2 linked regions of the Alligator mississippiensis genome follow. The main gene of each other region encodes a partner of the protein of the gene in region 2 in a complex. Links are inferred from orthologs where the notes say so. Each region holds a gene or a part of one and is shown on either strand. Other genes may lie near its edges. The genes, in order: NSMCE2 and SMC5.

What was found.
Region 1: SMC5 (region 2) and NSMCE2 share a complex: the UniProt entries of both Homo sapiens proteins name them as parts of the SMC5-SMC6 complex. The link is inferred for Alligator mississippiensis from reciprocal best matches to the Homo sapiens genes SMC5 and NSMCE2.

The regions. Positions count from the first base shown.
Region 1 is NC_081826.1:19,245,449-19,260,868, forward strand, and holds the start of NSMCE2 (E3 SUMO-protein ligase NSE2), read right to left. Parts: upstream 7,420-15,420; 5' UTR 7,361-7,419; intron 7,334-7,360; exon of another isoform or gene 7,236-7,333; intron 7,130-7,235; 5' UTR 7,060-7,129; intron 7,002-7,059; exon of another isoform or gene 6,793-7,001; intron 2,571-6,792; 5' UTR 2,556-2,570; coding exon 2,423-2,555; intron 1-2,422. Other genes in the region: WASHC5 (WASH complex subunit 5), read left to right, coding at 10,665-10,850, 12,183-12,328, 13,588-13,672, 14,205-14,305. UniProt on the Homo sapiens protein: E3 SUMO-protein ligase component of the SMC5-SMC6 complex, a complex involved in DNA double-strand break repair by homologous recombination. Is not be required for the stability of the complex.
Region 2 is NC_081826.1:194,265,396-194,279,976, reverse strand, and holds the start of SMC5 (structural maintenance of chromosomes protein 5), read right to left. Parts: upstream 7,842-14,581; 5' UTR 7,693-7,841; coding exon 7,559-7,692; intron 4,581-7,558; coding exon 4,439-4,580; intron 2,931-4,438; coding exon 2,878-2,930; intron 208-2,877; coding exon 45-207; intron 1-44. UniProt on the Homo sapiens protein: Core component of the SMC5-SMC6 complex, a complex involved in repair of DNA double-strand breaks by homologous recombination.

The sequences.
Region 1 (15,420 bases), about 180 Mb from region 2:
TCCCAGCTTGGGGTCAGCTCTCGGGAGTTCAGAGGCTCCCACCCCACATCCCAGGTGTTTGGGAAAGCCCTTCCACTCCCCATCTCCGCATGCACGATGCTCTCCTCCTTCTAGGACCACTCAAGCTGTATGGAGCAGCTACTCCGAAACCGACACTCCTGCAGCATTCTTTTTTCTTTTCCTGTTGCCGTCTTTTTCAGCAGACTCCTCTTCCCCTACAGGAAGTTTTTTGGTTTTTTTTTTCTTTTCCAGTTCTCATCCCTGTTCCTCTCCACAACCTGATATACCTATAAACCACTTGTGTGATGCAGCCATGAAAAGGCAAACCCCATCTTAGGCTTCATTGCTCAACATATTTCCAGTAGCAATAGGGAAATTCTAATGCCATTTTTCAAGGTAATGGTAGGCTCTCATCTAGAATAATGTGTCTAATTCTGATTATCCACGTTCAGGGAAGATGAATTCAAATTGGAACAGATGCAGAAAAGGGCTTCAAGAATAATCAAAACAGACAAGCAAATTAAAGACTAGGCAAGTAGACTAAAAGAGCTTAACTTATTTGCCCAGAAAAATAAAAGTAGGAAAAGGGATATAATTGCCTGTGATGTGTCTAGAAACACCTGGAGTGGGGGCAGGTAAACATCAAGGAAGAAGATGATCTAATTAAAATAAAGGATAATGTTGGCAAAACAGCAAATTGTTATAAACATGAGGCTGGAAATTAGAAGATTTCTAATCATCACACCAATGAGGTTCTGAAACTGCCTTTCAGAAGCACTAGTGAGAAACCTACCTAAAAAAAACCTTGAAAGCTATGTGTGATATGCAGTCCTATCATGTTTAATAGCCACTGTTAGACCTATCCTTCATGAATTTGTCCGGGTCCCTGTCAAATCTGGTGAAACTATCACTCCACAAAAGCTTGGGGCTATGAGTTCAAATACTTAATTACATGCTAAGTGAAAAAGAGCTTCCCTTTTGTTTTAAACCTGCATGTCCCCTAGTTATGGCATTGTGAAAAATAGCAACTAGTAAATATTTAATTTTCTCCATGCCATTTATAAGTGTTCTTCTCAGATGACATATGCAGCATGAGCCTCTGTGGGTCAAGTCACAGGGAAAATTGGTCAAAATAACCTGGAGGTTAACTGAAGTACCCCACAGGAATTGAGGAGGAAGGAGGACATAAAACATGCAAAACTGAAGTTCATGGGCTGGATCCTCAGCTGCAAACCTTGTGGGCCACAGGTGACTTTGCACCTCACCAAGCCTTCAGGCAGCACGTGCAACTTTTACCAACAATAACAGCTATAAGGGGTCATTTTGAGGGGCTGGGGTTGAGAGAACACAGCATGCTCAGCACATTTTCTCATACACCAGCTGCCCCTTATGTAGAAGTAAAAGATGTGGTGACACCAGAAGCAAAGCGGAACAGAGCTGGTTATACCAGCAATGGAAATGGGAGGGAACCACCAACTTATACTGTCCTTCTTTCTCGAAACTAAGCATTGGTTTAGTTGAACGGAACCTTCAGTATGCCATGAAAAAGGAATCATCTGTTTTCATGAGATTTTCTCTCCTCCTTCTTGTTAAAAAAACTATTCATTCATTTCTTTGAGTTCAACAGTTTTGCACTAAAATCTCTGCAGTACATGCAGGAAGAGGAGAACCTTCCATTCCCTTGAACAGCTACCATATCCTACAATTATTTTAGGATTCAGATAAATCTGTCCCTTGACAAATACAGTCCAGATTGCAGCTGCAGTGGTGGCAAGAATAGGGGACTGGGTATTTTGCTTTCATCTTGAAAAACAAATGCATACAAAGCTGGCATTATACAATACATAGACCAAGATTTTCAGAAGCTGCTAGTGATTTGAGATAATTCCCTTAATGGGTGGCTAAACTGATACATCTTTCAGAAGCATGATATCACAAGATGGGTTGAATATTTTATAAAAATCTAGTCTCTTACGACAGATCTCAAGCTGCGCACCCCAAATAATCAATAGTCACTTTTGAAAACAGCTTAGGACATTTTAAAACACATAGGGATAAAAACGTAGTGTTAGAGTCAGTCAGGCTATTCATCTACTCAGAGGGGTTTGCACAAGTCGTCTTCCTTTACAGCTAAAACTTCTAAAAGGCTGCAGAATAGCGAACAGCAAAAAGTAATTAGTTTTCTGGACTTAAAAAAAAGCTAGAGCATGTCTATTTGGGAGTTATATTCCATTTAAGTTATTGTTTAAGACAGGGAAATGATTTAAATGGCAAGTCTCCAAAGTAGCTAGAAGAAAAGCTGCTGTTCTTATAATAAAGATGGATTTTTATTGTTCCCAGGCCTATGTATGTGTGCTTAAGACTGTCTGTACAGTTCAAAGGTGGTAATAAGCAAGACAATGTACTCAAACCAAATACTTACTGAGATTTTCCACAAGGTCAAAAGCAACGTTACTAGCAATATCCATGCCGGTGTTTATGTATGACTGGCAGTTTTTTAAAGATGACAGAGAAGAATCCACAGCATTGAATGAGATCACTGAACCCCCAGGCATCTTGAAATAATTACTCTGGATGGAAATAGCAAAAAAGAGAATTCAGAAACAAAACATTTAGCAAAAGAAATAAAAGCACAAACATCTAATGAAGAGTCCCCACAATCTAATCCTGTGTTAGTAAGGGTTAAATCCTGGCTCCACTGTAGTCAGCAGGAGTTCAGTCACTAGTGGAACCATAATTTAACCAGAGGGATTCAAACTTCCTATCACACAATGCTGAACACCTCTCCACTGCAGAAAGCAGCCTGTGGTTTTCACATTAATAAGCAAGCTACTGAACTCAAGTCAAGCAATACACTTCCAGATTACAAGGGCTATTTTGACAAAAAAGAAGTTCCCTGAAAAAACCTAGTTTTCACTCATAGAGACCAGAAAACAAAGGACAATAGTCTTAAGAATATATTTAAAAACCAAATTACCTAATCCCTTCACTGAAGAAAAAAAAAAAGAAAGAAATAAGACAGATCTCTCTCTCTCTCCCTCTCAGCAAAGGAGTCATTCAGTAATGCTTGGTGCCACTAGGTCATTGGGGCACATGAATAACATTTGTCTTTTTTGCTACCCGATGAACATCTCAATTCCCATTGCTATACTTACTATAGTCCAGCTCTGGCCTACTGCCTTCTCTCTGTTGGTATGCTTTTTGCCACACAAGATGCAACTTCCCACCTGTAATGGGATAGCTTGATCCTACAGTTTTGTTCAATTGCTCACCATTAATCAATAGCCACCCTCAATACCAGCTCTCATTTCACTATGCTCTGACCACAGGGAGTGAAGCATAGATCTGTGGCGAAGAGTCCTATATTTTTAAGAAGACCAAAGTAAAGACCAAGCCTGTTGCATTAAATTTAGGGATGCACTGCAAAGTTTTCTTTGGCCAATACCAATGGCCAATTATTAATCAGCCATATCAGCCGATAAGGATCCAACTGCCGATATGCAGCCTGGCAGCTTGGAGAGCAGGACCAGTAAGTCTGTGGGGGAAGGAGCATGGAGGGTGCAGATCAAGGTCCCACAGCGAAGGAAGGAGTGGGACCGGGGCAGAGGCACGGGCAAGCGCGGAACGGAGCCGCCTGCCTCCATGCCCCCTGTGCACTGTCCCACCTCAGCTGGGCAATGCCTACCTCTGACCCTGCCCCAGCTCCTACCCCATTCCCTGTCTCATTGTGGGGGCCTCAATCTGCCAGCCCTCGATTCTACACAGCCCCCACTTTTTGGCACTCCAGAATTTGACACTGATGCCAGCAGGACATATAGACCATAAGAATTGAGCTTTATTGTCATGCTACCTCCCCATCTGCTGGGACTCAAGGATGCAAGTTCACCAAGACTGGACCTTTATCGCCCTCACTCTGAGGTGTCCTGGAGAGAGCAAGCCAGGGACCAGACCAAGGACTCTACAATCTTTCAGGACTGTGACTTGCTTTCCTGCTGCTAGGCACAATGCTGTGTACCCTTTCCTTTTTTTTTTGTCTTCTTTTTAGTAAGTATGGCCTTGCCAGCCAAAACTGTCTCTCTGAAACACTGTTGTGACCTCAAAACCAGAGACAACTAAAAGCAGTCTATGAGTACCAAATAGCTTGGTACTCATACAAATTTGCCTAGCCCTCAAGTGGCTGATAAACCATAAGCTGTGTCTGTCAGTTACTAGCAGCAAAACTGCAAGTAAGGCAAAATGCACTTTCTGGTGCTAGCTATCTTTGCTGCTCTACTCTTTCCCTTTTTGCTTATGTCTTGCTCATCTTTAAAGAAGCAGGCTCAGACTCCAACAGATTCAGTCCAGCACAACTTAAGCTTCTCTTTTCCCCTAAGAAGAGTAGTTAATACTATATTCAATATAATCTAAAAGACTGTCAAACCAGAGGCGGGAAGAGTTCCTTTAAAAAAAAACACCTGTCTCTGAAGATCAAGGAGACTTCCTGGGTTACTGAGTCCAGTTCCCTGCTTTTGCAGGCAATAATTCTATTAAAAAGCTACTTTAAACCCTCAGATCAACTACAGGGTACAATATGTGCAATGCTAAGAATACCCTATAACCTATTGTAAGTAAAAGCAGAGGAGACTAGGGTTCTCCCCAGACCTTGCCACAAAGATATAAAAGTGATTAGTTAATGTAGGCTGAGAGGATCCTTGGAATCAAGCTCTAAGCTACAGAAGGCACACCACACACATATATGCATAGAGATGCATGAACACACTCTGTCCCAATCTGACCTAAGGGAAAAACTGCTTTCTGAGTCTAAATTAGGAGATCAATATACATCTGAGCAAAAGAATAAAACTCTGTGGCTTTTTTTAAATAACAACAGAAGCATCAGTGCACCTGACTCAAACCCGCACCTCAGCTGTAGCCAACGTTCCAGTGTTCAGATAAATGCAAGGAAAACAAAAATGAAGCCAAGAGCATTTACAAGGAGAATGGGGGGTGAGAACTTTCCTGGCTGAACTGGCAATTAGCAAAACCCACGAAATGCACCTGCCACACTGCAAAAAGAGGCATTTCAACATGGGCACTGCAAACACAAGTCACACCAACTGATTGAGTCACAACTCCCTATCCTATTATGTCAACCATCCATAAAGTTTTCCAGCTCAATCTTGAAGGGATTCAAGTACTTTTCCCCCAATCATCACTGCCTGCTTACAGATGTAAAAAACAAAAAGACCCCCCAAAACAGCACTTCAAATTCACAGCGCCCCTGCACTGAGCACAGCACATGCTCAGAAGAGGCATTGCATTAGTTTGCCCCAGATTGCCCAATGTCTGTATAAATTGGGCACTCTGGTGGGTTTTTTTCTGGTGCTTTTATCTACTAGCTGATTGAATCCTTCTAGCTGTTAGATAAAAGTGCCGAAAAGCCCTGCTGAAGTGCACAATCCATACAGGTGCTACAGAGCCAGATTGAACTAACACGCTGCTTCTTCACATAAAGCACTGGGTTTTTATTCACGTCTCAGCAGCCACTTTGCTTGGAAAGCTGTTTCTAAACATGACTTAAGTCATTTCTCTGCTTGTTTGTTTTAATGACAAAGGATAAATATATTCTTTATTCTCTCTCTCTCCCCCCTCCCATCCATCCTTCTCATCTACTGAGAAACAAGGTCTTCAGACAAGATTTACATGACACAGAGAGAGAATTTGAAGACCAGCTCACAAGTATGCCTCTGTTGTGATACTCTACACACTTCTAGGGACACTGCATCAATTTTCTCCCTTGAAAAATTATTCTATTGCTTAAATCACCTTTGCTATTAGAAAGTGTTTCCCCACCTCTTAAAAAACAAATCCCTTTTCTGTAGCCTAAGGTGTTCCATTCATTCTTATAAGCACCTACTCTACTGTTCATCTGCTGCTGCCATGCGCATAACATATTTCATTTCATTTTCAGGTGTTCCTCCCTAGTAAATAACCCGGGTCTGCTCCTGCTTTTCAGTTTCATGAAAACGGAATTGACCTGATTGTTTTCAGTTTCACTGCTGCCCACTCAGAAAACCAGGACACTGGAAGACTGCAAGGCAACTGTCAAGATTTTGGTCACTTTTACTCTGCTGAAGCTTGTGAGCACTGCCTTTACTCAGAGCAAAGGCAGTGGGGTTGTGACTCACTGGCAGGCAGAAAGAAAGCACTGCATCTGCTTAATGCTGGCTTGTTTGGAAGGAAAATTTAGGCTTTAGGTTTTAAGGAGCCATGTGAGGACCCCTTAGCCAGCTCTGAACTCAGCTGGAAGAGTCCCGCACGCTCCCTTTGGGTAGAAACTTTCCGACAGCTGCCCAGAGCTTCTGCAAAGCACAAACTTTTTCTTAAACACATGTGCCACAAGCAGCCATACACCACATGGGCCACAGCAGGAGGACCCCCAAACTGTACTGCACAAGTAAGTAATCCCCACCTTGCTACACCATGTGTGTGGGCAGCTCCCCCACGGATTGTGCACCCCGCTGCGGGCTCCCTGCTACACTGACTGCCAGCTGCACCGCCTGCCCCCTGGGATGTGCAGGCTGCAAAAGCCAGAGGGCGACAGGAAGCCCAGAGCCAGGAGCTGTGCAGGGAACGGTGACAGGGTGGGAGCCTGGGGGGGCTGCAGCTTAACCCATCACCGGCTTCATGGTTTAAAATAACAAAGGACTTTTCTCACAATAAATCAGCGGGGGCCAACCACTCTGCTAGGCAGGCCTCAAATTAGCTCTGTGGTCTCCCCAAGTACCACTCCCCTCCCCCCGTCTGACCTACTGCTCCGCTTTCTGCTCCCTGCCCAACCTGTCACACGCCACTCAGGCGGCGCAGGGCGGCCATCCCCACACGAAGCCAGGCCGCCCCACTTCACCCGGCAGCTCACGCTCCGCAGAAGCGACCGGCAACCGCAGACCCTCGCGCTCCACGGAGGTGAGCGGGAGTTTCCCGCGGGAGTCCAGAGCCGCCAAGGGCTCCGCGCGACATCTTCGAGGCGGCACTGAACTCCGAGGGGACGCTCCCACCCAAAGGCGCGGCGGCGCTCACCGCTCCAGACGCGAGTCCCCTCAGATGACGATGACGACAACGAAGCCTCTCAGCTTTGCCTCTTTTGTGCCTGCGAAAAAAATAACAGAGCTGCTTTTCTGCCTCGGGTGCCAGAGTCCTGTGGGACACCCGCCCTGGCAGCCCCGTCTGCACCACTGAGGGGGAGCCCAACGCACCCCGGGGTGCCACGAAGGCCCTCAACTGTTGCCTGCGGGGCCTGGCCGGGGGGCAGTGGCGGGGGCTGGGGAAGGGGCTACGACCCTCCCTTCCCTTCCCTTCCCTTCCCTCCCCCAGCACCCACCTGCGGCCCGGCCCAGGCCCGCGCCCGCGCCGGCAGGCCCCGCCTCGTCCGCTCACGTGACACCGCTCACGTGACGGGAGGCCCGGCCCGGCTCGGCCCGGCCGCGGAGGCCGCTGCGAGCGGTGAGTGCGGGACGGGTGACGGTTGGAGGCGGTTGGGGGGTCAGGGCACGGCGGTTGGTGGGGGCGGGGCTACACCGGGGCGGGCGAGGAAAGGTCTTGGCCCCAAATTGGGCTGCCCCAGGACGAGCTGCCCTGGGGGTCGCTGCTCCCTGGGGGGGGACCGGGCATGTGGCGGGCGGGCGGGCGGGGAAGGTCTTCTGACTGAGACACGCGTGTGTGTGAAGCGCCTCCCCGAACAGGCTGTCGCCCGAAAAGGCGCGTGTCCCAGGCCTCTTGCCCCTTTCACGGGGCCGGGCAGCGGGGCTTGTGAATTGGGACCTGCCCGTGCAAACTGGAGCAGGCGTGGTCTGTGCCAACTGTGAACTCGGAAGAAACATTTTAGGAACTGACTGAAAATACAACCCTGGATGGAGTGAGACCGGCGGCGGGCAAAACGCAGGCTGGATGTGGAGGGACTTTGGTGCTGTTGGGCCCGTGGCGCGTGTCCCGCCACCCCGGGGCGTGCAGTGTGGCTGGCGTGGCTCCTTCTGGTTACTGCCACCAGCCGCAGGGAGACGGGCAGGGACCAGTGTGCGCAGCCCCGACCCCAGCCCACCCCGCACCCTCTGTGCACCTGCGCCGGCCGGAGCAGACCAGCCAGGACCCATGCGTGCAGCTCCAGCTCGCCTGCCCGCCCGCCCACGAAGAGCAGCAGTGGCGGCCTGGTGCTGGGCACCAGGTGTGGGTCCAGGCGGCCGCAGCAAGACGGTCCCGGCAGCAGAGAGTGGGGGGCGGCTGCTTTTCCCCCATCCTCAGTAGCCGCTTCTGCGGGGATGCTGCTGTCCATCATAGGTGGGCCGGTCTGGAGCAGGTGTGGGGTGGGCCGGGGCTGTGCACATTTGTGAGCTGGCCTGGAGCTGGTCCGCTCTGGCTGGGACGGGGCCGGGAACGGGGCTGTGCGCTTGGTTTCTGGCTGGTTTGGAGCAGGTCCGCTCCAGCCAGGGTGAGTTCAGAGCAGGCGTGGGGTGGGCTGGGGCCAGGACTGTGCTTAGCAGCTAGCAGACACTGTTGGTGGTGGCAGTGGCAGGGAGGAACTGCAGGGCCCATGGACTCTGGCTTTGGTGAGCTGTTGGGGGTGGGTGCTGACCAGCCTCCAACAGCTCCTCAAAACTGCCTATGCGGCCTGTGGGTCCAAATAATTGCCCACCCCAAGCTAAACTGTTCTCGGTGATGGCAGATGACAGAACAAGGAGCAATGGTCTCAAGTTGCAGCAAGGGCAGTTTAGGTTAGATATAAGGAAAAACTTTCGTGCCGGAAAGGTAGTACGGCACTGGAACAGGTTACCCAGAGACATGCTGGACTTTCCACCCTTGGAGGTTTTTAAGACCTGGCTTGACAAAGCCTTGGTTGGGATGATATAGTTGGATGGTCCTGCTTTGAACAGAGGGTTGGGTCAAGGGTCCCAAACTTTTTAGATTGAGGACTGGCAAACTGCGGACTGGAAGTCGCCGCAGACCGGCAGCCAACCCTTTTTTATGCTGAATCCGCCACATGCCGGTCACTTCCAGTCCGCAGTCACTTCCAGTGACACCGTGCAGGGCCCCACGGCAAGAACTTCTAACCGGAACAACCGTAAAGACACTTGCACCCAGCGGGCGGGAGGGAGGGAGCAAACCTCAAACGCAGCAGCCACTGCCGCAAGATAGGATGGGCCAGCCCTCCTGCATACCAGCATCCAACCCTTTGCGGCCCAGCACCGGGTCATGGCCTGGGGCTTGAAAACCCCTGGACTAGATGACCTCCTGAGGTCCCTGCCAACCCTAATTTTCTATGATTCTGTGAAAAGCTCAAGTTTCTCCAGCCAGTTAGTCTTAAAGGTGCCACCCTGCTCTGCCTTCTGCCTGACTTCAGACTACCACTCCCACAGCTGACTTTCTGGAAAGAAAGAAAAGTGGAAGTGACTTTGTGTATTTCCCATTGACTGAGCTGAGAGACAAATGAAGGGAAAACAAATGAGTTAGGGCTGAATTTGGTAATGCCTGTATTTTTATTTTGGCAAAGTACTTAGTCATGTTAGTCTGAAGTCAGGCAGAACACAAGGTAGACTTGTACCATATAGAATAGCTATTCAAATATGCTGTGTAGCATCTGAAAAAGTGAGCTGTTGCTTATGAAGGCTTATGCATCTCTTTAAGGTGTAATTTTGTTCTTCCTTCTGCATTTTGATTTGTTATTCCTGAAATAATGCCAAAAAAATGTTATTTGAGCAGACGTTCTGCTCTATAATTTATTTAAAATTCTAGCAACAATTGCAGATTAGGTTTCCAGAGAGCTGGTTTTTGTTTCCAGCTCTGCCATAGATTTGCTGTGAGATCTCAGACAAGTCGTATAACCTCCCTGTGGCTCAGCTAATTTATCTGTACTATAGAATAATTGTGGTTACCCAGCGTGTTAATAAGGGTTGTACAGTAAATCATCTCTGTCAACTATGATGGAAAGAGATTGTGTCATGCTTTTTTTTGTTTTACTGGGTAAAATAAGATTTCTGATTTGAAGAGAGATTACTGACATGTTACCTTATCTATAATACGGAAGTTTGGGATAAACAGATACTGGTTTGGTAATAAACAAAGGGCCCTGAACTGCATTCAGTTTCCATACACTCCAAGTGTTTAACCACATTGACGAACTGTCATGGTGCACTATGAAAATAGTTTCTATGCTCATCCTTTACAGTTTCTAAACTCATCTTGTACAGTACCAACTTTGTAATGGTGTTCGGAATAGATAGACTCAACTTTATAAGCGTCTGAGACTATTTTGTCCTTTAGCAGTTGTTCTAAAATCTTTTGGTATTGGAAGTTGTGCAGCTGTTTCTCATAAGCTGATGATGCTAGCTAAGTGTTTTGTACACACTGAAAATAGACTACATCGTGTTTTATTTATAAGCCATCTACTCTGAGATTCTGGAGGACACAGAGTTCTAATACAGTAGCTTTTCCAGTTGAATCCAGTCATCAAAAATATGAATATGAAATATACTGAACATGGTTCTGTGTTTTTTGTTCTGTTTTCCTTTTTGCAGGTACTCTTAATGGAGCAACCAATTTTCCAGCGACGATTTTTTGTCTAAATGACTTAAAGGCTGAAGCTTGCAGACGGATTGCAGTAATTTTGCTATCCTTTCACCATAGTCTCCAAGATGGTTGATTTTCTAGCTGAAAATAATCTCTGTGGCCAGGCAATTCTTAGGATTGTTTCCTGTGGGAATGCCATCATTGCAGAACTTTTGAGACTATCTGAGTTTATTCCTGGTGTGTTTAGGCTAAAAGACAAGGCTGATCAACAGAAGTATGGCGATATCATATTCGATTTCAGTTATTTTAAGGTAAGCATTTTCCTATTGTTTTAGCTCTAGACTGCCATTTTCTTTCTGGAACAAAATTTCTGTTTGGCAATATAGAGCATATCTTTGTAAAAATCGGCACACTTAATTGATTTTAGTCATTACCACCAAAATTTAGAATACAATAAAATGTATTTTATACATATTTTGACCTTGACCACAAATTCATCCATAGACTGTGACATGGAAATGCCTATGTGTTAGTTCTTTACTTCTTGAGTAAACTAAATCCATACATTTCTTATCACACATTTTCCATGCCTTATTTCTGTGAGTCTGAATGTGGCAATCAAGATTTTTGTGCTTGAAGAGCTTGAGTGTTAATGCTGATCCTATCAGAGCACTTGAATGGAGGATTTAGAGGAAAGCAAGATTGATTTACATTAGTAATCACACCAGATACCATTTCAAAGTGATAGATCTTTCATTACTGAAATAAGTTCTTATTTTGGAACATTCATTCTCATTATTTAGGATAGTTCAATACATAAAATCTCACTTTCATCAGGACCAGCAAAGTCTATCAACTTGGGTGTGACCCTTAATATAGTATTGTGGGCCTCCTGTAGTATTTCTGGCGGTCTTTAGCTGTATTCTGTATCTTGTACTGCTGTGAACACTGCTGTGTTTCTGTTATGATAAAAAAAATGTTTGTTATACTTTCACTCAGTCGGTTGACATATGGTACATTAACCAGCACAGATATGACTACTTTCCACAGAGGAGCTGTGAGATTCCTTCTTGAGTTGAGCCTCTGGCAGTACCCACTTAACTCTGCTATTCTGGAGAACAATTTGTATGGGACTTCTCATGATGAACTGATTTGCCTTTCTATTTCCAAGAAGCATACAATAAAAGAGGTTCCTTATCATGCAGTTCTCCTTGTAGAAAGAGGAGTGGGCTCTGAGCAATAAATGAGATTCGGAGTTCCTGAATTTTAATCCAGTCTCTGATCTCATTCTCTTCAGTGCCTATGGGAAGCAGAAGAACAAATAGATTCAAAACATATCAGCGATTTAGAAATTCTGCTTCTGCCTGAAACCCCCCTTATACAAATAATTCCTGAAATTACTATAACCAAAAGAGATAAAAATAAATTGTTTCAGTTTGGGCACTTGGTGCATTTGGCAGGACTTTATGCAGTTTCATGGCTTCAGTTGTATAGTCTGTCTGTCACTGTCTCCTTCTGTGTGGATCTTTCACAGAGCACAAGAAAGAAATAATAATTGATAATTCATCCATTATGTCCTGTGGCAAACTGTCACAATTACTTTCTTTTTTACTCTTTTAAAATAAATGTCCTGTTCTTCTTAGGGGCCTGAAATCTGTGAAGGCAAGTTGGAGGCCAGAGCTGAGCTACTGGATTTAGATGAAGAGTTCCGTGAAAACAACATAGAAATATTAACAAGATTTTATCTGGCATTTCAAAGCGTCCATAAATACATTGTAGATTTAAACAGGTACATGTAACAGGGTTTATTAACATAATGACACCAGTAACCATATGATCTTAGTCTTGTGTTCTGTGTTTTCTTTTTTGGGATACCCCTCTGCTAAATTATATATGTATACACTTAACAACATAGTCTAGTCAAGTGTCAGAGATTCCCCAAAGCCAACTAGCAACTGCTTCTGATGTTGATTTTTGTGTAGAAAACCCTGCTGTGGTAGTGGGTAGTAGTAGAAAACACTCAGGTAGACATTTAAAAAGGAGGGGGTTTTATCCAAGTTTTAATCCTGCCGTTAATGTCTTACTCTGTAATCTTGGAGAGTTAATTAACTCTGTTCCTCAGTTTCTTTGCATGTGAGTTATGTCTTATGCACATTCACAAAAAGTCTTGCAAGAGAATGAAAGATATTCAGATAACCCTTTGTTACCTTTTGCATCTCTGTTTGAAGAAAGCAATATCATAACAGTCTCAAATATTTTTTTCCAAAGAATTTGCCTTATCCCATGGTCTCTGCTGAAAACAGCTCACACCATTCTATAAGGAAGATGCGCTATCATGTCTATAAAGTCAATAAGAGTTTTGGGTTTTGCTGATCTAATCCAAAAATCCTAAACTAGCTGGAATAGTAAAAACCTCTTAACAATCAATGTGAAGATACTTCACTTCCCACTCTATCCCAGCAAAACGGAATAGAAATACGTTAGAGATTTCCATAGTATCTGGTATCTGTAAGGTAATCTCTATTCATGTTGTCAGAATCTCAAAGTGTCTTCTAGATTCTGGTAATAAAGTACTGTTTAACCTTGTGCATAATATCCCAGTGTTGCTTCATAGTCTATGACTGGATCCTAGGCTTTTTCTTCTTTAGGTTACATCCATCCACACAGAGCTAAGTGGATAACTTGAAAACTCCGTGTTCTCTTTTCACTAGAATGTGAGACCCAGGTTTGCAGGATACTGACTATTTTCAAATCCCACAGAGATGTTAATTGGGCCAGTATGTGTTCCAAGAGGTTTGGCACCTAGTGGCCTCAGGCCTCTAATGCCAGCTTTTCCTTGCTCTCAAGTAACTTGTGCTTATTGAACCTGTTCCAGGCAGACTTTTCCATAACATGGGAAATATTAACAATAAGCTTTAGGAGTGGCAGGGACCAATTTCTGTTGACCTTCAGGGGAAATTGTCTGACTGAATTGTGAAGGTACCTGGCTTAAGAAGCAGAGAGAGGACTCTTACTAAACCATGACTGACCTTTTGTTAACATTTCTAGATATTTGGATGATCTCAATGAAGGAATTTATATTCAGCAAACACTGGAAACTGTGCTCCTTAATGAAGATGGGAAGCAGCTTCTAGTAAGTAATCAAGAGTTAGTAATCAGTATTATAAATGAAGTCATTTAGTTATCAGCAAATTTGGCATCCGGCTTTTCTAAATTTAGCATTAGGTATAGACAAAAATAAATTTTTAATTTCACAAATGTGATGAAGATCTGTGGCTCTCCTTTGTGAGAAACTTTTATGGGACTGGCCAAGGGAATAAAGAGAACTTCACTTTCACTCAATCGTGGTTCGAATTACATCCAGGTCATTAGAAATCCAAAAGTCATTGACAGTAGGCGACTCCTATTAAATGAGCTGACCATCTTACTGAATAGCTGTCGTCTTCCCACAGGTTGCACAAGACAAATGGCCAGTTTTATGAAGCCAATAGTTTTAACTGGCTTGGAAACATAATTTGTCAATCTAAGAATAAGGCTAATGCAACTCAGCAAGCAAACATAGGGTATTACTGTCTATGTAATGTCTAAAGATTAATTTGCTTCAAAAGTAAAGGCATGTTGTTATTAGATGGCATAATTTGTTAATTTATAGCATTTCTCAACAGTGTGAAGCGCTCTATTTGTATGGAGTCATGTTGCTGGTTATCGACCAGAAAATTGAAGGGGAGGTCAGAGAAAGGATGTTGGTTTCCTACTATAGATACAGGTATTGTACTTTAGAAGTGCCGTAATGTGGCTTCTACAGCTAGAATACAGCAAACAGCATATTACGCTTAATTGTTTTATAGGTGCATAAATTTAATGTAGCATGTAGAAATATTGGCTTCGGTCCTAGAACTGGGTAGGCTCTTTCCCTTGATCATGTAAAGCAGGGGTGGGCAAAATGGTGGATCCAACCAGTAGATCCACTCCATTTCCTAGCAGCCCCTGCTCATGTTGCTCCGGGCAGTTTCCATGGAGACCCCAGGAGTGGCGGGCCATGGGGGGGGGGGGGGGATGACAACAGGGTTTCCATGGAGATTGGCCTAAGCAGTCCTGGCAGAGCTCGTGGCTAGGTGGGAAGCTGCTCTGGGGCTGGGACCAGGGTCAAGATTTTGTTGCAGTGACAGCATGGTCCAGAGCCAGGGCAGAATCATGTTCTATTGCCTACATGCCCCAGGCAAGACCAAGCAGGCAGCAGATCACGGCTCTGCCCCGGCTCTGAACCATGTTGTTACTGCCGCAAAATCTCGGCTCCAGCCCCAGAGCAGCTCCCCACCATGGAGACTGGCCTGAGCAGCACTGGTAGGGCTCACAGCATGGACACCTTAACCCCACGCTGTCTCCTGAGGTCTCTATGGAAACTGGTTGGAATGTGGGCAGAGGCTGCTGGGAAACGGAGTCCGCCATGGGCCCGACCTGGCTCAAAGACTGGACTTCGCCTGCCACTGATGTAGAGCCTGTGGAGGTCAGTGATCTCCTTGCATATATCGGGGTGTGGCTGCTTAGATCCATTTGCAAATTCAGTGCCACAGATGCCTTCATTTAGTGACTTAAGGACTTGAAATAATTTATCAATAGATTCCTCATGGACCTTCAGTACTGTCACTCTGTCATCAGAGATTTCCAAAGGCACTTTTGGAGCTTTGTGAGGTTGTCTTAGTTTCTAGATCACAAATTTCTCCCCCATGCTATACCTTATTGAGTTGCAAAGCACTCTTGAATAACACAATCAATAAATGGATTTCTGAGTAAGGCTGGCAACATTAGATTAAACCAAGCAAAAACCTCCAAGGTTAACAGTCTACACCAGTGGTGTCCTGCTAAAACCCTGTGCTCTGA
Region 2 (14,581 bases):
CCTCCATTTGTATATAATACCTTAAAAATAAAATTCCTTCTTACCTGAGGGAGGAACTGGCACAGATTGCCCACTTGGATATTTAAGGCTGCAATTTGCTCCTCTACTGTTTTCAAGGAAGAAGGCTTTTTATTGATCAACCATGTTGATGAATTGTTTGCCACATGAATCTCACGTGTGATAACAAGATTATCAGGAGGTTTAAATCTGATGAATAGAAAAACTGTTAAGTATTTACTAGTTTAAGCATTTCATACCTGACGAAACTACTTGCATGTTTTAGTCTCTTACATTACAATCAGAAATCTTATAGCCTTTTAGTGAATGGCAAATGAGTAACTGCCCTTAATATTTAATACAAGATTAATGGAAATCAGCAAGTTATATTTAAGAATGTAACATTAATTGCAAACATGAGAATTTACACAAGCAGTCACAGATGTAATCACTTTCTCATTCCATATTTTCCATCTTGAAATTTTTCTACTGATCAAACATGACATTCAGTTCAGTTTGGATCTCTCCAGATAGTAAATTATTTGCCTCTGCATGCCATCATTCTCTTGCCAAATTTTCCAAATAAGGAATGTAAACAGACTTAATTTACCTATGCTGCCTTACTGCTTCTAGATCTTTTTTTAAAAAACAGCTTTAAGTACATACACATCAAAAATAGAACCTTAAAATTAGGCTACAAAACCATATTCAGGCAACAAATGATGGCATGTTCATAAGCATTTGATACAACTTTTGAGTGTAAGTCCTATGGACATCAAATACTGGTGGAGAAATATAGCTTGGTCAAAGCATTCCAACAGTTTTGACATACCAGAAGTCAGTGCTGATTGCAATTACTATACGAACTATTACTTATGAGTTTTGTGCTGGTGCCACCTTACACGTATTAATGAAGCCCTACAACTGTAGAGTACAAGTATTGGAAAGCTTGTGTGCAATATTTATTATTATTAAGTTTCTAAATTCTAGTAACAATTAGAAGAACAAACATAAATAAATAAATGTATCCACTTCATCAATTTAAAAGTGAAGTGGAAAATACATCTTTTAACAAAGTTACTACTTTAAACATACTCAAAAATTAAATTCTTTTTTATCCAATCTGCTGCAGTGTAAGCATGTCATCTCAGTTCTCACATATTTGCCTTACTTCCTGGCCAACAGGTGAGATGTTCCAAGTCCTAAGTCCTGCCTTTCACGTGTTCTATATAAAAGTGATTTATGAAATATTATGTTTCAAGTAGTTTCCTTCTGCAGGCCTTTCTGCTTTGGCTAAAATCCCTCTGCAAGGTACTGTTCACATATTGCTACTGTTTTTAAATGTCCATATGTTTGATATATGAAGAATCTCTATGAGTGCATTGTACTGTTCAAATGACTAGCTAGACTATATAAACCCACAAACACACTAGAAAAGGCAAATAAAAAGAAAGCAAGAGACCCATAAACACATTCACATGGGAATTAAAATCTGCCCCTAAAATTACTCCTCTAACATATTGCTTAGTACAGCATTATGCAGGCAAATGAACTCAGAACTGCTGCTGACAAATAAAGTTGACTAGTGTTGACAAACAAGTCTATTGCAAATCCATCACCACTTTCTTTCTGGTAACACTTAACTATGGTCCTCTTATACTACCTTGCAATTAGATGAGGGTCCCATTATTAGGATTATAATAATCCTTGGCTCCACCCCTATCTCCTGAAAGAGTGGAAATCAAACAGTCCCTTCAAATAATTAGTTTCTTTCTATCCAAAAAGTATAAATCATCATCCTAAGGAAGCAGTCATTGCATCTTCTTTCTTTCTTTCTGCTTCTAACACTACAATTAGTTGTCCCTGTATTACCAGACATTTTCCTAGCCCAAATTTCTTTATCAATACCCAAGGTTTTTCGCTGAATAACTTTCACACATCACCAAGGTGACTCAGTTGTCACTTCTTCACCTCTTTATTCTGGAAACAAGACTGTCTTTGCTATCCAGACAATACTGTTCTAGTCAGCTCTCAATATAGTTTCTTATGCTGGATTTCAAAACACTCTTATTCAGTACCTCTCACTAATTCATGGCCAAATATTTTCTCTGTTAGGCCACTGCTATATGTTACATATATTATGCAATTAACTCATTAATCACACAATAAAATTAGACCAGCCTCCCATGCAAAGTAATTACCACACCATAAAAAATGATTAGAGCTATAAAAAGAGCCAACCAGCTACCAAGAATAAAGCGTGAAAATGTGTAGCTCTGTAGCTCATTTCTATCCAGTTTTAATTTAAACATGCAACAGGGACCCAAGAGACAGTTTACATACATAAAAGATAGCATGTCCTTGGAACTACCTTTCTGTCCATTTTCTTTCCCTTTTGTTTGACACACAATTCTTTGCTGCAGGACCCAACACTGCCCATAATACCCAATGTTATGAAGTCATGTTGCAATCTTAACAAATAACTTCAAGCTAAGAAAGAGCTCTGTATTACATAAAAACAATTTAAGCAATTAAGGTACAACTACATACAGCATTCTATGCGTTCACTTAATCAAAACTGCAACAGCATTATATGAAAGTTGAATACATAAAAAGCTAAAACAAATTAAATCAAGGAACAGTATTTTCACATTCACTCCTTTTCTTTTTCTGTGTGCCAAGAGCCCCATTTTGAGATTATGGCAAATATGACAGGTTATTAGCTGGTCAATTATAATCACGTGAAAGCCAATTAATATTATCAACTTCAAAATGAGTCAGAACTACTTGAACCAGGAGACATCACTATACTAGACTTCTTGCAGATCTATTTTGTGATGCAGAAACAAATGAAAACTGAAAGGTGGTTTTAGTACTTACAGTTCAATTTCAACTGTGCCTTTACAGCAGCCTCGCTTTACGAAGAAACCAACCTGCAAAGAAAGAGCTACAGAATTTAATACCTGAAAATCAAAGACATCTCTAAAGTCAAATTTCCCAGAAAACTCATAACAGCTTTTGAATATTTCACCACATAATCAATACCAATCTATGCTACTTTACACACAGTTCTCAAACATGCACTTACTATACAGACAGTGCATGGCCAATACTGAAAGCCCATTAGACAGTAATAATAGACCAGGACTTCAGTTTCTTCACGGAAGAGAGAATAGGGCGATTTAGTGAACAGTCTGCTATAATTCACTGACTGCTCCAAAACTCATGCCCTACCTGAAGGTTGATACTTGAATCATAATTTGAAACTCATTTAGCAAAATGAGTTTCAGATAAAGCCATATTCATTTTTATTTTCTAGCAGTATACACAATACCTAAATAAAAAAGGTGAGAAACCTGACAGCTGGCCCCATCAAACCCATCTATTTTGAAAATATTTGCTTGTCCAGGCAGGAGAATGATTAAGTCACTAAGTGACCAGTTAATGGACACAACCACTTCTAGATGGCCACCAAATTCACTCTTGAATTTTCAGAAAAATCTCAAAATGTCAAAACAATTTTAAAACCCCATTGTCTAATCAAGACATTTATTTTATACTACTACACAGATAATAATACATTTCTTGTGACAAAGTAACAGAGAAAAAACAGAAATCTTCCCAATGGACTCTACATGTTCACATTTATGGGATGCACTGGTGACAGTGGGCCCTGCAGTGTTTGTCAGAGGTCATTGTTGCAGTCTATAAACATGAACATGCAAAGGCCACTTAAATAACCTACTGAGGTTTAAGAAGAACACTTCAGCCTCCCAAAACTCCCTATCCAGGAAACAAGAGGAAAAGAACATGCATTTCCCCAGCCCTAGAGTTTTCATTAAGTTATGTTACTTAGGATATCTGAGTGTCCCAACATGAATTAAATACTTTCAGACTGAATGCAAATTCTCTCTATTTATCTTGTCTTGCTAAGTCACTCCTTGGCAAACCTAAAGCAGAGCTGTGTTTTTCATGGAGAGCTTTTTCAGTGCAGCAGACTTAGGTATTGTCCTACAGAGGCTCTCTCTGTTTCCAGTACTGGCAGCAGACAGTAGTTGTCACAGAGAAATTAACAGACCACATTCATACTGCACGGCTTTTGGCAGCTCTGTCCAGGTCCTGCTCAACTACAAGAGCTGTGCCAACAGGTTAGAGAGCCCAGTCTACTGCAGCAACCATCTTTCAGTTGAGCAGGTGTTGCTCTGCTGGCAGAAAGAAGGGCTCTGTTGTCACAGATGCTGTTAGCATCAATGCACTCAGTCTCACTAACTTCTGCAATCAAAGCTCTCTTAAGTGGAGACTTGGCCCTATTTGCTGAGGAGCTATTATGCACCTTCAAATGGAGTTCACAAAAGTACAGGGATTATGGCTGCTTCCTGCTGGACAGGGCCTTCAGTGATTTCCTCAGTTAAGTACCTGGAAGACAGAAATTTGTACTGACCTTGTCTGCTCGCCCTATGAAAGAAGGTTTTCCGGCCAATCCCAGACAGATGGCACAAACAATGCTTGATTTTCCTGTTCCATTAGCACCCACTATCATGTTCAAGTGAGGTCCTGGATACACTTCACAATTATCATATGTTCTGAAAGACACCATGATTTCACGTTAGTCTTCATTATAAAATATAAAGCAAGGTATACTAGAAAAAAAAGTGAGAATTTTAAACAAAACAAATACATGCAAAGTAACATCAAAGTGGTCTAAGGCAAGCACAGCACAACACAACAATACATCTACAATACTACAGATGAGATTTAAGTGCTTCCCCAAATATTGCTTTGTATAAAAATTTGCATCATAAAAAGAATTAATTCCACATCATCTGATGCAGCATAAGAAAAGCCATCAAGCTGTAGTGATCGTCTATCCTTTTCCATAAGGACTGCAGAAAATGAAAAATTTGAGAGGTATGCCAATTTGAAAAATTTGCTCTAGGTATGGCAATTGCAAAGCTGCCATTTACTTTGATGGAGCATGGATTTCACCCTTATTAGTTTGTTTTTTTCATTCAGGGAAAAAGGGCAAGCAGAATTTTGACAAAACTGATAAACAAAAGCACCTAAAGTTGTGTTGAAGTGTGTCATATTTGACACAAGCCATCTTCTGCATCACAGATCCTAATGAGCATTGCCTATATTCAAAGTTCAGACACAGCCTGCTGTGCTGTATATTAAGTTCTGCAAAGGTTTCTGATTCCATGGCACACAAGTGCAGCTACCTACAATAGCTTTCTATCCTACAATAACTTAATTTAGACTAAACTCCTCAGATTTTGTATTTAAGCCAGACACAGCATGCTCAGTTGCCAACCAGAAAGTTGCCAGACACACTGATAGACAGCAAATCCTTCTTTAGTCCATCAACTGCTGTGCCATTAGAAGACCTGACGCTGACCAGATCCCATCATTTTTAGGCTGCCATTAGAAGTAAAGTACTGGGAGTAACAAGATTACCAGAGGTGCAGAAAGGGGAGAGCAGGCTGTTCTCAGAAGGCACACTTCAATCAGACTCCCTCCTTCTAATGTGTATGAACAAAGTTTTACATAATTGAGCGTACTTAACTGCAACTCCAACATATATAAAACCACAAGGCTCTTCCATTTTCATGACTGAATCTAACACTCTGGGCCATCCCTATGTCAAAGCAGTTTTTTTGACAATGCCATTAGAATGCCATTAAATGGTTTCGCCCAGAAAATCCATGTCTTGCGGTTACACCTCCTCCCATAGCTCCCTGCAGTGAACAGCTTGCACTACCCAGCACTGCTGTTTCCCAGGATGACTCCAGGCTAAGCGACACCAGGGCATTGGTTACACTCCATCTGTCCATTCTTGCAATCATAGCTGTGAGAGACTACAAAGGTGGGGGGAGGAGGGGAATCCCCATCCCCACATATGCAGGGGCATGATCCTCAGAGAAAAGCCCTTGGGGACATAAGAACTGCCATTTACTGGGTCAGACCATAGGTCCATCTTGCCCGGGCTCCTGTCTTGCATCACACAGAACCAGGTCCTGCATAAGGACAGTCTCCACTCCCCAGAGCTGGCATGGGGCCCCTGCCTTGGCAGACCCCATGGTACTCTCCACCATACTGCTGGATTCTCTGTAGCAGGCTGTGGGATACGCCAGTCCACTTCTGGACAGCCCATCACCACCAGCTGTACACGCTCAGGGTCTGCACCCTCCATCATCCCTATCCTTACATCCCCCCTGGACACAGTGACAGGACATCCTTGGTGAAGATGAGGGTCCCTGGTGGATGAGCGTGTACTCCACCTCAATCCCACAAGCCATCAGGAGACCTCAGCTGGCAGCTCCTCCAGAGAGCTGTCACCATGGATGGCCATCTAGAACAGTTTACAGACTCCCCCAAAACCTGCCCCATGAACAGAGGGAGATCCTGGCACGTGCCTACCTAGAACGTGCCAGGCTGCAGCCCCTTCACCGCCTGCTGAGTTTAGGGTTGCATTACTCCCTGCACCTGTTCATTTACAAAAATGAACTAGTCCCATGTGATTGAATGTACTAGGCCTCACAGAGTCCCAGTCCTAGACCAATAAACTAGGTCCCCCCTAGTCCCAGGACCTCTAAGTCAACCTCTTCCTGAATCTAGCCAAGCTACCAAGCTTCCTCACCCAATGGAATAACAAACAGGCTTGGTCAAACTCCTCATTGGCCCAGCCATGCTAGCGATCTACCCAACCAAGACAGAGGCTCTGGCTGGGAGGACACCCTGCCTCCCCTGAGGGCTGCAAGACCTTTATCCATCTATGGCCCATTCACACCTCCAGACAGTTGCACTCAGTGTTCCCAGGTTTACAATAATTATCGCATTTGTATGATAATTTCAACCCTTGTACAACATATGATCAATAAGAGCAAAAGCTTTCAAAATGTATGATCATTTTTGAGGTCGCTCATTGATGCAGCACAGGCAAAACCCAAGTCACTCTCAGGGAGGCCTAACTGACTTTGAAGTTTGTGGTCAGTGCTTTCTTATGACCAATGGCCTCGAAATAAAGAAACGCTTCAACTTTGAGGACCCGGTTCTCACTCACCCACTGGTGATTACAGTGCGCAATATAAAGTCAAGAAGAAAAAAACTTATTTGCCTCCTTTTTTCAGCCTACGATTGTTTTTCAGCAAATATGATCATTTTGAGCTTCCAAGACAATAATTTCTGCAATTGAAGACCTAGCAAGGCTGCTGGTTTCACTGAGCAGGGTCTGCTGCTTCCTGAGCATCTGCTGCCTATCCCCAGCCCAGCAGGCAGTGCCCAGCATGCTGTGCTCCGTGTTGCCCCTCGGTGCACTTGTCCTGGCGCTCCGTGCCCTCGCTCCCAGCCGGTTTTGTCTTTTGGGTGTCTCAAGCAACCACCAAAGGGGACTCACAGCCCTACTGGGCGGGCTGGGGGGGGAGGGGCAGCACAGCTAGAGACCTCGTGGGGGCAGGGGGAGGTTCCCTCACTGCTTCTCTCCCCCCCCCCCGCCACACGCTGACGTCACACCCTCCACTGCCCGCCGCCACACGCTGACGTCATCCCCGCGCCCCGCGCTCACAGGAAGTTCTCCATGGCGACTCGCACGATGGAGCCGTCCACGAACGCGGACGGCGGCTTCGCCTCCCCCGGGCCAGCGGCGCCCGCGCCCCGCCCGACGCTGCTCCCAGCTCTGCGCTTGGCCGGGGTCGCCATCTTGGTGCCGGCTGTATTCCTACTCTCCCCACCCCCCCGAACTGCTGCCGCGCGCCGTGTAGAGACTAAGCGGCCGGCTCAGCGCTCCCGGCGCCCAGGCGCCCATTGGCGGGGAGAGGGGGAGACGTCACAGCGCTCGGTGAAGCGCGAGGCCCATTGGCTAATCAGGGTGCGGAAATGCCGGCGGGGAGGGGAAAAGGTGAGGGGGGGGAGTGACGTGGGGGGGAGGGGAAGGAAACGCTAACAGAGAGCGACGCCCGAGCCTATTGGCTGAAGGAGAGCGAGAGGCGATGTAACGAGAAGCCTCATTGGCTGAGAGAGGCGGGGGAAGGCCGGGTCCGCCCGTTACTTTCAGTTTCGCTAGGCTCGAGATTATGGCCGCGCGTTCTGCCCGGCACGTGACGCCTTATTGCACTCGCCATTGGCTGCGGCTGGGCAGGGGCGGTTCCTCCTTCAGAGGGAGAGGGGGCGGGGCCGGGTGGGTGGTGCCCGGTTTGGTTTCCTCTCACTGGCTACCTCGCGTTACGTTTGCGTGAGGGGGAGCTCGCGTCATGGGGCTGTCAGGACTACACTTCCTAGCTTGCACCGCGGCTCGTGGGGCGCCCTCCCAGCATGCGCTGCGGGCGGGCGCGGCGCATTCTAGGAGATGTAGTCCCCCGGGCACAAACAGCCCGCGCTTGGCCCTGTGGTTTGGGTCGTGCAGACACGTGACCTCGGGCAGGACTAGGCCAAGGCCTCAGGCTGCCCCCGACTGGGGGTGGGGGAGGAGCTTTCTGTCTCTGCGGCTCTCGCAGGTTGCAGGCATAGTGCGATTGCACAGTAGACTGAGCAGGGCTGCACTTGCAGTATCCTGCCATAAAACTGTCTCTTCCATTACAGGGCTGGGAGGTAGTGCTTGAACATGTGTAATAACTTGATGGCTGGTTCTTATCCAGCTTTCATTTGAACCCATGGCAAGGCCCCTAGGCTAGTCAGGCAGGCACTGGCACAGGCTGCCTAAAGGAGCTGTGCAATCTCCATCCCTAGAAATGTTCAGGAGCCGGCTGCACAGATACTGGGCTGGGATGGTTTAGAGGTGGTGCTGCCTTGAGCCTGGGGCCAGATTTGATGGCCTGGTGAAGTCTCTGCCAGCCCTGCTTTCCTGTGTTCCTGTGTCCTTCCACTTCCATGCTGTCGTAAAGTCGAGTTACTCTGCAGTAACGTTTGCCTCAGAGTCACCAGCCTTGCCTTGCCTTGCCTTGCGGTTTGCATGGTGCTGAATGACATGAGAACAAAGCCAAAGGTCTGCCCTCATTGAGCAAGCTTGGAGGGTGCTGGCAGCTATAGCCAAAACAGAGGAAGGAGCGACACAGTAATCATCACCTCAAACTTCTTTTGAGCCTCCCACCTTGTGTAACCTGTCTCCTATTTACAGAAGGAAAGGAGTCATCTCCAGATACAAGTTTGGAGCAGGTTCTTACTTGCTACTGGAGCTGCCATGAAATGTGCCCTTGCAGCTCAGCTCCACTGCCTCAATTCAGTGCTGAATGCCACAGCCCGCAAAACTCCTCAGGGAGGAGCGTCACGGACCTTATCATCATGCTTTGTCTGTCTCTCCCCTTGACATAACACACGCTGGATCAATGCAGAGAGCTACAGTAGCAGCACATCTTCAGACCTGTTCATGATGCCAAATTTGGATGGAAATGGAATTTAGATTATCCTTACTGCCTTATCTCCAAAGATTTTCCTGACTTTTTAACAGCTGACTTTAAACATAAAGGAAATGACCAACTGATTCCACAGGGAAACATGCTAAAATTAATTAATTTGCTCAGTCAGGCAAGTCTCAATCAGTATGTTAGTTTTTAATAGTCAACATCAGGTGTCATTTGGTTAGCTGTAGAAGTTGTAAATATAGTGCAATAAGCCTGTTGTCAACAAGACAGTAACACAAAAAAGACTGTTAAAAGTTCAAACTATTCATGTAAATTGGGAACTAAACATTATCGGAGCATGATTTCCATCTGTATATATAACAAATTGAGACAGTTGTTCACTCTTGTTTTATGCTGTATTGACATAGAATGACACCAATTTTTTTTCTTAAAAAATCACAAGTGTTTTTGCCTCAACTGTCTTGCTTGATTAATGTTGTTGCAGGATTAGGATATGCTACATGAGAAGGAAGTTCTTCTCAATGTGTTTTGAGTTTACCCTGTCACGTTTTAGTATGTTGTCATTTCATTTGTTCTCTTAAATGCAGAACATTTGAACTTCTTTAAAGAGTATCCTTAAAAGATTGCATCCTATTAGGTTCATTTTCTCCTTCATGTGTCTCCCATATAAGTTATAGAATCACAGAAAATTAAGGTTGGAAGGGATCTCAGATAATAAGTGCCACAGATATTATCAATAGATTTTGTTATTTATATGGATGTACCACCCAGATTAGGATCCAGGCCCCATTGAACTAAATGTTACACAGACACAGAGGCTAGCTGGATTTAGGAATTGATAGTCTAATTTACAACAAAAAGCATCAAGTGAGACTAGCAAACACCATGAAGGAAGCTGAGGATAAAGGTAGCAAACAGCCCCAAATCATAGGCTGATTACACCAAAATGTGTTTATTTAGACCTAGACTCCATAAATATACCTAGAAAAAGTTATGGATAATAGCTATAGCATGTCAGTATTACCAGAAGACACTGACAAAACTCAGACTGAAACACTGCATTCTGAGACCGGATAACAGATAATTTAATTAAAAGACTTATATCAGGCACTGGCCAGAATAGAAGAATTTGCAGTAGGGAAGGTCATCACACATTTTAAGTAGCAACAGCAGGAACACAGAAGATAGGCTTAGATGATTGTGTCAGACTAAGACATGCTTAATATTGTTTACTGAACTGATTTCAGACTGAAGATGGTCCTGTCCTTTCCACTAGATGGCAGCAGAATGTAACACTTCTTCCACAGGGAAATGATTTTACCACTGAGAAATTATTTCAAAGGTCTATGGGATATACAGTCATTAATGTAAACATATGCATCCTCTAAATATTTGCACTCCTTGGGGTAGGACAGAATATTGTCAGTGCTTGGACCAGACAAAGCCTTTCAAGTAAAGATGCTGGTTTCTGCAACCCCTAAAGTATCATTTTAAATCTCTGACTTGTCTTTACTTTGTAACAAAACAAAAAGAAAAGTACATTTTCTAGTTAGTTTTGTTGCAAAGGGAGCCTGTAGCATGGAAGCGAATACATAGGTGTCAGGGGTAGCACTTGCTTGGAACGCTATCCTCCTGCCCCCCGAGCCTTACACAGACTCCCTTGGAAGCCAGCCCAAGCATAGCTTCTAGAGTGGGAGCCCCTGACTCCTCAGACCCAGAGACCTGGCCCTTTGGTCCCTGACCTCTCTGATCATCTATGGCCTCCTTTTGGATGAGCTTCTGGAAAATTACTTTACCTCTTTGATGAGACAGAGCATGCCCAAGTCATATGCAACAAAGCAAACAGCTCTTCTTCCGAATACAAAACAACATTTTTTGGTCAATCTCAATATAAAAGGCAGCATTCTGGAGCCACAAAGCCTAAGTCATCGTTCCAGGCAGTCTCTGAGAGGAAAAATAGCCCTGAATGTTCTCGCTCCCCCAAAAATCTCAGGCACCCCTGTTTTTCAAGATGTTTTATGCTTTCATGTTCCCCCTTGGCACCAGAAGCAGCAGCGAGTCTTCTACAGGTGCTGAAGCTGAAATCTATCTGGTGCTACTCTGGGCCTTCATGAACAAATCAGCCCACTGATCTCTTGATGTCCCATTCCCTACTAATAGAGCTCTGCCTGCAGGTTTCCAGAAATATTACAGCACAACCATAGTCTGTCACAATGAGAGCTTCTGGGATTAGTGCTCCAACTCATTGCTCATTCAGCATCTCTTTGCTTTTTGTTAAGGGATCCTAGAAGAACAAATTCATGGTGGTGGAGTTTTCCAATCTAACATTCAGGGCTATTTTTCCTCTCAGAGACTGCCTGGAACGATGACTTAGGCTTTGTGGCTCCAGAATGTCACTAGCACATTCACAACTTCCTTTTGTTACGCTTGCGCTGACACCGCCACTGAGCTGCTAGTGTGGCTTCCAGCCAAAGGAAATAAGACAGCTACACTAAGCAGCCAGTTTAATATTAGGCTGCTAGTATATAGGGACAGAGAAAACAATCGTCTTTCTCCAAGTCTTGGAAGAGGCAGTTGCTGGAGTAGGGTAGAGAGGAAGAATAAGCTGAACTGAGAGAAGAGGAACCACTGTTGTGGATGAGAGATGAAAAAGAAATACGATACCCCAGAAAAGAGCAGGCATGAGAGAAGAATGAAGGATGAGGTAAAGATCTGAAAGCTAATATGGCAGAAATATGGAACATTCTAAAGATGGGGAAAGCAAGAGAGAAAGAGCAATGGCAATGGAGGTGTACATGGAAGAGAATGAGAATGGGAGAGAGAAAATTTCAAAGAAAGTTAAGAACAAAAAGGAGAGAATAGAAAAAGAGATAGGAAAAAGGAGAAAGGAAGGAAAGAAAAATGGAGCATGGAGATGGGTGTGGAGAAAGATAAGTATAAATGGGAGTGGTAAATGTTTCTACATTCAGTGAATGGAGATGTCTCTCTACCACTTTAATTATACTTCCCAGCATGAGGCCAACTTATGAAATCATATGAAATTACAATGTAAAAGTTGCTGTAAAGGAAGTTCTACAATTTAAAAAATGGTAAATATACCTCTAGGTTAAATGGTTACATTAATTACACACAAAAATGGAGATAATAGTAGGGTTTGTGTGAAGGAGCAAGGGGCAGATTTTTGTTTTTGCTTGGTAGGAATGTGAGGAGTAGGAGCTTCTGGTTTGTAGTAGGTGGTAACATAAGAGCAATTCATGCCTATTTCAGCGTTGCTCTTAAATTGTATAGCCTTTAAATTTACAAAAAGAGCACTTGCAGTTCTGGTGAGCCCATTCTTTTATGTGTATTCAAAATCAGACAGATAAAATTATTCACTAATAAAGCATCAAAACTACGTCTCTGGAAGATGTGTGTTCTGGGTGGTGTTCCAGGCTGTGACAAGTACTAAACTTTTGGGTGCTAATCATGAGATATTTGCATGGAATTACATGAAAGTAAAATTGGATTTACATGTTGTTGAATCAGCCCATAAAATTTATTTTGGTCTAAAATAACATAGGGGTCAGGATTTGATTTCACTTACATTGGTGTAAACCAGGAAATCTTTATTTATTCAGGAGTTGCACTGATGTAACTGAGAGTGGAATTTGGCACCATTTTAAGTAATAAAATTGAGCAATGAAGAGTTAATAAAAATACTGTATAGATAGCAAAATAAAGCTGATTTATTATACAGAAGGGAGACAATGAAAAAGGTTCTTTCAGAACAACTTTGGTTTTACTACAATACGAAGTTGTTTCTAGAGCAAACAATCCACTGAAAATCTGGGATCCTGTATTTGCTGCTGAAGGTTCTATTTTCATAGTTACAATGGCATTGTCCACAGAGCTGGGGACATACAGGGGTTTCTTTTTATACATTTGTCCCTCTAACTTCTGAAGAGATTTTTAGGTGGATGATTAACCTAACATAGTACAAGCATTGTCCCCAAATCTTTGTGGTCTCTTTAAGTTGCTCTAAAGATGTAAAGTGTACATAATGTTTAGGAATTATCCCCAACTCCTACTATAGATGGGATGGGTTTATACATATTGGGCATGTGTACACGTGCATTAATGCGCTTTTGCTACTGCACATTAAGTTTAGTACCTCTAATGTGAGGTACTACATAAAGGCATATTAGGCTACCCTAATGCACAGTAGTGAAAGTGAACAATTTTTTTAGTGACCCTTAATGCACAGTAGCCTACTGTACTGCACATTAGTGTATTGGCACATTTTTATGTGCCGCCTTAATGCTACTGCATATTAAAGTGCACGTGTAGATGCACCCACTGTAAAGCTGATGGAGCAGCTTTATTCCACTTCCTACCCTATCACAGGATAGATACTTGTCAGTGGATGAAGTCCTATGCAGTTTTCCTGCCTATTGCCACTAAAGAGTTAAAGAAAGCTCAAAGACTCTAGGCTTGTGTAAATACGGAACTATTCGATTCAGATTCGGCCAATTCAGAGGCCAGTGATTTGATTCAGAGATTCAGATGGCTGTTCCAAATTGATTTGGCCAAATCAGCTTCGGAAAATTCAGTGCCGATTCAGAGAGATTCGGAGATTCAGCCATAGAGTATAATGGGGAATCAATGAAATACCTATAACTTTATCATTTTTGTGGCTGATTTGGATGAAACTTGCAGGTATGGTAGCCCCTTCTGGGGGCACAAAGCTTGCCATGTTTCAAGGAGATAGGTGCGGGGGTTTCTGTGAAACTGTACCTCAAAGTATTGAAAGCAAAACTCGTGTCACATGTGCGTGTTAAGCCACAGCGGGGTGAAAACTGCAGGCATGCTAGCCCCTGCTGAGACCATGAAGCCTGCCAAGTTTCAAGGAGAGAGGTACAGGGGTTTCTGGGAACCTGCACCTCAAGCTGCTGACAAGCAAAACTCATGACATGGGTGACACTCTGTGTGTGTGTGTGTGTGTGTTAAGGCACCAGGAAGGTGAAAACTGCAGGGATGGTGGTCCCTGATGAGGCCACAAAGCCTGCCAGCTGTCAAGGAGATAGGTGTAGGGGCTTCTGGGTTCTGAGGCCCTGCACCTCAGGCTGCTGACAGGCAAAACTCGTGACATGGGTGCTTGTGTGACTGTCTGTGTTAGGGCACAAGGGGGCAAAAACTGTATGCCTGCTAGGCCTGCTGCAGCCATGAAGCCTGCCAGCTGTCAGGGAGATATT